2 linked regions of the Canis lupus familiaris genome follow. The protein of the gene in region 2 binds, or shares a complex with, the protein of the main gene of each other region. Links are inferred from orthologs where the notes say so. Each region holds a gene or a part of one and is shown on either strand. Other genes may lie near its edges.

Region 1 (4,430 bases), on a different chromosome or scaffold from region 2:
AAGACTCAGAAACTATTAAGTATGTCTTCCTAGAGGCTCACATAAGGAGCAGCACCAGTGCCAAGAAACTTCTGTACAAAAACCTCTAGCAAGAGATAAGAACCTAATCCCTAAGTTTCCCAGCCAAATACCTTCATCTGAATCCATGTATCTTATTGCTTAGAAAGTTTTCCAAGCATTTCCTTAATTTCTTGTAATTAAGAAAATCAACTGTAGCATACTTCTTTTAAAGTGATTTGTCTAAGTCTTCAAACTAACTTTAAGTTAAGTATGACATTTAAATGATACAAGCCAGAGTATAAAATTTCAGTAAGATACATTTTCCTACTTTTCAAGCTTCAATTTTTAAAAACTGTTCAAATCTAATATACAATAGAAACTTCTCAAAGGCAACTTTAAAGGGCGCTCGCTCTTGTTCATTAAAAGTTTTAATAGTGACTATGAAGCCTGACTCTAGAATCAAATCCAGCCTCTGTCACTTTCGTCGTTAGAGGTCTTAGGCAGTCATTTAACTTCCCTGAACCTCAGTTTTTCATAAGTAAAATGGGAATAACTGTGTAAAGACGGGATTGTAAAGATATGTAAAGCAATATATGTAAAGTAAGCTTAGCCCAGAACTTGATCAGTATTAATTATGACATATATTTAAATGCACAGACGAACTAACCATATCTAACAGATAGTCTGGATAAGTGAATCCCACCAGCAGTCCAAACTTCACCAGGCCAAACTTCATACCTTCTGTGCATGAGATTCTTCTTTTTTCCTTCCAGCTCACTCCCTTGTGATGGTTAATACTTAACAGTCCAATGACCTATCCCTAGGCAAGTCTAAATGGTTACATCACAAGCATCAGACTGAAGTGACTATATTTAACCCAGTATTCTGAGAAAGAGGAACCAGAAACTACTGCCTGGAACAGTATACTGCTATATGCTTATAAAGGCAAGCACCTTCAGAAGAAAAAAAACAACAACAGCAACAAACCACCTTTAGAGTGTAGTTGAGATTATCTAGCTGTCATTCGGGCACCAGTTTTGAACACTGAAGGACTTTAAAAAGTGAGCACTTGAAACAAAAGAAGTTGAACTCAAGACGGGAATTGTCTTTATCAGTGTTCTCCTCTTAAAAGTATAAAATTCTTTGTTAGACCCAAGTTTTGAAATATTGCTGTTCCAACTTTCGGATACACAAAGAGCGTAATGAGAATGAAAACCCGCAAACGCTTCTGGAAACCATGGAAATAATCATTAGCCTGGAGCCTTAAGATGCATTCGTTCATTTTTATTTCATTGCTTTTACCCCAATGGCATTAAAACCACCTACTGAATGGTAATTCATTTTCGAAAGAAAGCACTATTTTGCTTTAAATGCTAAGAGTTACAGGCACCAGGGAACTGTGCCTCACGGACAAATTCTTGGAACAAATTCTAGACCAGCACTGTCCACTAAAACTTTCAGTGATGGAAATGCTCTATATCTGGGGCTGTACAATTGGCAGCCACTACCTCCATGCGGCTACTGAGCACTTTAACTGTGGTTAGTTTGCCTGGGGGACTGAATTCTTAATTTTATTCAATTTAAAACAATGACGTTTAAATAACCACATGTGGCTTGTGGCTGCCATGCTGAGAGCAGCACAGGGTCTAGATTTTGCAGTTATTTACCCGAAAGAAACAAAGAGAGACTCACTAACGTACAAACCAGCCACCTGGGTTCCAGAAGCATCCGTCAAGTCAAAAACAAGGGGCCCAATCAATAGAGCAGGGCCTGTTATTTACTTGGAGGGGGCAAACTGGTGGGTTTCATTTAATGGTCTCCTCTCCGTTTTTTATCATCAAGCGGGCAATACCGAGCGATGAAGGCAACCTCGGTGAAGATAAGCAAAGCGAAGCTTCTATACCATCATCGTCATACCTGAAGTAAGGGCTGATCGCAGCCAGGACGTTTCTGTGACAGGAGAAGGTTCTCCCGTGATCCACTTCCACTACAATGTCTGTCAACTGTCCTTCATCGTACATTGTTTTGAGTTGCTTGAGAATACTGCACGCATGGAAGGGGTCCATGGCATCGTTGGCTGTGTCCGAAGATGGAATCCCATTCGGCGTTGGGGAGGCCTTATTCAAATCTAGGAGAAAAAAAACAAAAACAAAAACAAAAAAAAACAAAAAAACAAACCGAACGAACACAAGAAGTTCGGAGCCAGTTACGGCGTTCAGGCTCCCCATCCCCCACCCCCCCCCTCCCCTCCCCCCTCCCTTCCCCCCCACCCCCCCCCACACATCCTCCCCACCTCCAAAACTACATCTGTGTATACAGACAGCACCCAGTGGGGCCGCAGAGTGGGATCCGGGGGAGACGGCGCGGGGATGCGGGTCCAACACCCTCCGCTCCTGCGGGAGCCCGGCGAGCCCGCTGCCCCGTGCTCGCGGAGGGACCTGCAGGCGGCACCGGCGGCTCGGCCGGGAGCGGCGGAGCAGGAGCCTCACGAGGGAAGCTCGAAGGACGGCGGCCGCCGCTCAACCCCCTCAACCGCCTGATGCACCGGTCGGAGCGGCGGCGGGTACCCGGCCTCCCCATCTCTGCCCGGCCGGACCGCCCACCGCCCTCCACGCCACCCATCCATCCTCCCTCCCCTCATCCCTCCCCACCTCCCCATCCCCATCCTTCCCTCACGCCTCTTCTGCGCCACCTCCCCAGCTCGCAGCCTGAGCCGGGACCCCGGCGCGCCCCCCCCGCAACACACCTCCCTAGCCACCGCACGACCCACCTGCCGACGCGGCCATTTCTCGACGGGGCCCCGGCTCCAGCTATTTAAAGAGGAAATGTCATTTCGCTTCTCCAGCTCCCGGGTTCCGGCTCTTCTAAGCTTCACCTGGCCAATGGGGTGGCCTAGGCATCCGGCTCCGCCCCCAGCCTCCGAGTTCTGCGCTCCGATTGGCCACGACCCGCGCTAGGCGCTTCGGGAAGTGTAGTTTTATTGCCCCCGCTCCCGCGTGGTCCGAGAAGGGCGGAGGCCCACGCCGGTGGTTTCTATTGGCTGCTTGCGGCGGAGGTGGAGAGCTGGGAACTCGCCAGCCTGTGTCTGTGGGGCGCGCGGTGCCTGCCGGGAAACGTAGTCTTCTGGCTGAGTAGAGCTGTCATTCTGAGGGGCTAGGGTAGGGAAAGCTCTTCAAGTGCAAATTTCCCCATTTTAGGCCTCTCTCCAGGCCCCTGGCTCGCCTTTCCTCTTTTTTTTTTTTTCCTTGCACCTTGTTCTTCATTCCCCAAACCTCTCGCCAGCAACTAGCTTCCGGTATGAAAACGGGCTCTGCGTGAGAGCTGTGAAACCAGAAAAATTAGGACCTGGCCAAGAGGGCTGTGGTCCAAAAACGCGGAGGAAATCTGACACTCCACCCTGAAGTAAAATATCAAGAGGCCCCAAAGCAAGCCGTTCTCTGATGAGTCACCTGTGACACCCAATTGAAATAGCATCTAGCATCGCCCCCCCCCCCCACCCCCCCCACCGGCCGAATGCTCTGGTTTCTGCAGATTCATTTGGTCTGCACGAGGTCTCTAACTCCCACCTGTGCCTTGCTTTCCTCGAGCGCCCGGAGAACACCTGTTCCACTTGCAAGAGCGCGAAAGCAGGCTGCAAGGGGATTCGGGATGCTTTCCTCTCTGCTCCTGGGAAGTGGAGGAGTTAGGATGCTAGAGAGCCTGGGATTTCCTTTGGAGAAATATTGGAGGGTGCTCCGAACCTGAAGACCTGGCTGCTCCCTTACTAAGTAGAGAAGACTTTTTAATTCTTGAGCGCTCAGGGCCTTCACCTGTACCATGCGAATCACCACGAGGATTCCGTCTGCTTCATAGGCTGCAAGCTTTTTGGGAGAAAGATGGGGACCCCTGGGTGGCTCGGCGGTTTAGCGCCGCCTTCGGCCCGGGGGTGTGATGCTAGAGACCCGGGATCGAGTCCCGCGTCGGGCTCCCTGCATGGAGCCTGCTTCTCCCTCTGCCTGCGTCTCTGCCTCTCTCTATGTCTATCATGAATAAATAAATAAATAAAATCTCAAAAAAAAAAAAAGAATTTGGATTGTAAGTTGTGATGGAGAAAGAGAGAATGATGAAAAACAACCCAGCTCTCCTAGCTCTGCTGAAAACTTGAGAGCTCAAAAAATATATATGCTATAATTCCATTCAAATTAGCAAGAATTGAAGTTTCCTTGGGGCTGGGGTGTATGAACATTGATATACACTGTGTCTACACTCTGAGAGTACCCTGTAAGCCCTGTCTGTACGGCTCTGCATGAATAAGCTTGATGTAACTTTTGTTACTCAGAACTTTAAATTTCCATTTTTTTATGATCTTAATGCTGTTGCTTTCTAAGTTATGAAAATACTAGAGGTTTCTTCGCTTAACCATGTTGAAGATATTAAGACAAAGAGGGCAT
Region 2 (4,475 bases):
GAGAATGGTAAGTAAATATAGTTAATTCCCCACCCTGTTTGATTTCCAGGACTATTATTCAGACTATTATTCAGCTTTCCTGTATATAGTCCAGGTAATCCTAGGCAACTGTTACTTTCTCTAAGGAAATCTATTATGAAGATCAAAGCTGTTTTTTCCCAAATCTAGCAAATTTTACCACAGCTAGGAAAAACAAAATTAAGTGTCCCCAATTACCATTAAACTCTTGTGTTCTTAAGTACATCACAAATGATCTTAAAATTCATCTCCTTCTATTGTCATCCACTCTGTGGTTTCCCTCTAACAATAACCTCTACATGACTCACTGTCCATGCTACACAGGTAGAGCTCCAAGAAGCCAATCTAGGATTATGGAGTGGACATCACAACCAGAGATTCTTCATCATGACTATGCTCTATAATAACTGAAACCACTTCCAGATCACACACTTCTAAAGACCATCACTTTCATAATATGACTTCTAAACTCTGAAGGCTAAGTCAAGAAGGGACTATCAGAAGAGAGAGGAGCATTTTCATTCAAATATATCCCCTCCAATCCAATCAAGTTTTTTCAAGCCCATGTGGACAAAACCCATGTGGAAAGTACAGATGGAGAGGAATGGCTTTTCGAAGATAAAGGACAAAAGGTTCACCTGACAGCAACTAATTCTACATAGCAGAACAAAAGAAAAGCTCAGGAGTGAGACATTCAACAACAGCAAGGAAAGAAGAGCAGAAACTTCTTGGGGCAGCACTCTGATCCAAATCCATATAGCTTCCAAGAGTTTCGCAACTACAGCTTCCTTCCTTAAAAAAAAAATTTTGCCCCTTGCTGTTAATTTTGGGTACCAAAAAAAAAAAGTGAAATGACATATTTTGTGCAGTGTAGGAAAGCTTTCAGGCTGGGATAAACTTTAACTCCATCAACAATTTATGAATCCATAAAGTCCTCACTGTTTTCCATCTTAAAAAAGAACTAATTTCTCTTAAAATCTTACGAAAAGTTCTACTTAAAATGCAAATTGTAGATAAAACTGTGGTATGGCATAACTTACTCTTGGGAACAATAATGAAGGAACACTTAAAATATGTACTCAAAACACTAAAAGAACCTGATTTTACTGATGGGTCTGTATCTGGAATATGCTTACACATCTTATAGAATAGCCTGTGAGTTCACTTACCACTCTGTTTTGCAATGAAAACAAAACAATCTCAAAACATATTTTTACACTTTTTACACGTCGATTTTATAAAACAGAATCCTGAAATGAGCACCTGAGACCTTTGGTTAAACTATAATTTTCTTAAACTACAGTACCTACAATGCATGTCCAAAGATTAATACAAAATACTATATAGCTATAAATATTGTACATCTGTACCACATACAAACGCTATTTTTTCTTTATGGAACAGTATGCATTTACTACTAGAAGACTGCTAACCTGTAAGAAAAGAGAAATTTTGAAGGTCTATAAGGACTCATTTACCAAAGGGTAAGTCGGTGAAATATCATACCACTGAGGCATTTATCCAAGAAACTGTAACTTAGAAGTTTATAAATCAAAAAAAAATCTAGGTTCTTTTCAGTAGAAAGTTGTTACGAATATTATAAATCATGAAACATTGAAAAACTATGCTTTTAAAAATTAGCAGGTACTAAACTACTGAGTATCAAACAGTAGTCATTTATAAACTTCAATAAAGAATATTAGAAAATCTTAGATGGCAACAAGTTGTGGACAGAAAAGATCCAAATTAGCTCACAATCATTAACACACACACACAAAAAAAAAAATCAGTTTCAGGACTATGTGCTAACCTATCATATACTATACTCTTTTGCTAAAGGAATCATGAAATTCTTTCCTGCCTCTCCCAATAATAAATACAACATCCAGAAAGAAGGGATCTTTAGTCTTCAAGCTGTATTGACTTACTCCAAGCTCCTAGAACAGTGCCTGGCACACAGTACTCAGTCTTCATTAAACGAATGAGGGAATGAAGACCAGGTAGGAAGAGGTAAACCTAAATGGACGAAAAAGCTAATCACGCTTAAAGGTACAACTGGTTAATCGCAATATTAACAAAAGTGAGTTCATGTCAAATGTGAGCTATGCCGCATTATAGTAGTAAGTTTGAGTTAGAAGAACTCAGACTTCAAGAATAGCAAATTTTTCCTAGAAAACTTGTTATACAGAAAACTATTTGAAACTCTTAATAATTCGAAATCCTGCTAAACATGTTCACAACTGCTTTAGTAGCAAAACTAACATTACTCAAAAATTCCTAAGCCCAGCTCACTTCACTGTTAAGAGAAAACATGCTGACAGACTTCATTAGTTCTCTTCTGCATTAGTGTCTTCCCTCACTGCAAATCACACTTCAGAAAAAAGCAAGCCTTCCCACAGTGAATACAAACCCCACCTTTTCCCCCTTCCCAAAATATGACGTGTGTAGGATTCTAAGACATTCAAGATCTTTCCCCAGTTTTACTGTTGTTTTTTTTTTTTAAAAAAACAAAAAAAACAAAACCTTCCGTTCGACTGCTGGTTTGCCTTTCTTGACATATACCTGTTACCGTAGCGACGTGAGGCAAGAACGTCCAGTTTCTGTTACAACAGTACACTTTAATTGCTTGCCATGGGCTATCTGAATCAGGTATGGCATCCCAAGTTACACTCTCTACACTAAATAATGCCAGCGTATGACTCAACGTAACGCTAAAAAAGAAAGTTTCTAAACAGAGCAGCCTTTGCTGTCGCTGAAACCCACAGCGTAGAGCAACTCGGGGCAGTGACGACCCCCTCCTGCTGGGCTTCCACGGCTAAGATCTGGAGAGGCCATTGTCCAGCGTGTGTTCTCTGGCTTCCCCTTGACCCTCCTACAAGTGGCGAGGCCAATTCCTGCACAAGAAGAGTTTGTAAAGTGCTTTTGGACGCCTGTGGATGAAAGAGGCTATAAATACAGCTGACGAGGTTAGGTGCGTGCGTTACTACCGAGCAGTGCAAGGAGCCACGGTCACTGCGTCGGGGGGCGGGTAGGTGGGCGGCCAGCCCCCTTCCTGCGGAGGCACAGGACAGCCCCCTCCACCCCCCGAAAGGTCTGGCGGGCCCTGGTTGAGGCCGGGTTATTTTTGAGACCGCACGTGAAAAGTTCCACACACGCCCCCCCACACACGGAAGACTTCCACAGTCCCCGTCCCCGCGGGTGTGGTGGTCCCGGGGCGCCGGCAGGGAGGGGAGCACCGGGGGCCGGGCCTACCCCCCGGGAACGTGGGAAGGGGCCGGCCCAGGGGCCCCCGCCGCAGCCGCAGCAGCCGCCGCCCGCCCGCCCGCCGCCGCCGGCCCGAGGCTCCCGGGCGGGTGCGCGGCGCCGGCCTGAGGCGCCGGGGCCCCCGAGCCGCCCGCCCCGTGGCCGGGAAGGCTCGCGCCCCGCGGCCGGCGGCGTGGGGGAGGGGAGGCCGGGCCTGCGGCCTGTTGGGGGAGTTCAGCCCGGGCCTCGCGTGCGGCTCTCCGCCGGGCCCCCCGGCCCCGGGGTCCCAGGCGCCGAGGAGAGACTCACCGGAAAGGCCCGGATCCGCATCTTGGTGTCCTTCCGGCTGCCCGTGCCTTTGCTCAGATTCGACATGGTGCTCGTCCCCTCCCCGGCGGCGGCTTCGGGTCGCACTCCGAGGCGCCGGTGTCACATTTAAGGCGGGCGGGCCGGCGAGGGGCTGCGCTGGGGGGCGGCGGCGGCGGCGGCGGCGGCGGCGCGGCCCCCGGGCTGGGCTGGGGAGCGGGCCGGCCCCTGGGCGGCCGCGGCGGCTCGGGCTCCGGCGGCTCGGGCTCGGGCTCGGGCTCGGGCTCGGGCTCGGGCTCGGGCTGCGGCGGGGCTGGGCTGGGGGGGCTGCGCTGGCGCGGCGCCTCCGCGGGGTCCCCCTCACGCCCGGCTCGGCTCCCTTTATCGCGCTCCTCCGCGATGGCGGCGGCGGCGGCGACGGACAAACATCTCACTGCGCAGGCCGAACGTCCTCCTCCTCCTTCTCCTCCTCCGCCTCGACGAGACGAGATCCGGCCCAGAGGGTGGAGGGGGGAGGAGGGAGGGAGGAGAGCCGGAGAGTGGAGAGATCGGGGGGAGGGGGTGGGAGGACGGGAGGGGGAGGCGGGCGGCCGCGGCGGCGGGGCGGGGCGGGGACGCCGAGATCTCGCGAGACGAGGGCGAGCGCGCTGCCCCGGGTGGGGCGGGGCGAAGCCTGAGAGCGGGCGGGGTCCGCGGGAGGGGAGGAGGGGAGCGGGGAGTTGGGGGAGTGGGCGTGGCCAGCGGGGCGGGGAGGTTGGGTGAGGGGCGGGGCTGAAGGCGGGAGGAGAAAGCTGCCTTTTTGAAAGGGGAGCGACGGCGGCGCGGAGGTGGTTGCTGATTGGTGGAGCGCGGCGCGGGGTGGGAGGGGTCCCGGTCACGTGGGCGGAGGGGGCGGGGCGAGTCCTGAG

Evidence for each region.
Region 1: CUL3 (region 2) and KBTBD8 share a complex: the UniProt entries of both Homo sapiens proteins name them as parts of the BCR(KBTBD8) E3 ubiquitin ligase complex. The link is inferred for Canis lupus familiaris from reciprocal best matches to the Homo sapiens genes CUL3 and KBTBD8.

What each region holds. Positions count from the first base shown.
Region 1 is NC_049241.1:24,616,919-24,621,348, forward strand, and holds the start of KBTBD8 (kelch repeat and BTB domain-containing protein 8), read right to left. Parts: upstream 2,928-4,430; 5' UTR 2,787-2,927; coding exon 2,771-2,786; intron 2,521-2,770; exon of another isoform or gene 2,294-2,520; intron 2,129-2,293; coding exon 1,918-2,128; intron 1-1,917. UniProt on the Homo sapiens protein: Substrate-specific adapter of a BCR (BTB-CUL3-RBX1) E3 ubiquitin ligase complex that acts as a regulator of neural crest specification.
Region 2 is NC_049246.1:38,009,242-38,013,716, forward strand, and holds the start of CUL3 (cullin-3), read right to left. Parts: upstream 2,869-4,475; 5' UTR 2,854-2,868; coding exon 2,782-2,853; exon of another isoform or gene 2,613-2,781; intron 2,602-2,612; exon of another isoform or gene 2,581-2,601; intron 1-2,580. UniProt on the Homo sapiens protein: Core component of multiple cullin-RING-based BCR (BTB-CUL3-RBX1) E3 ubiquitin-protein ligase complexes which mediate the ubiquitination and subsequent proteasomal degradation of target proteins.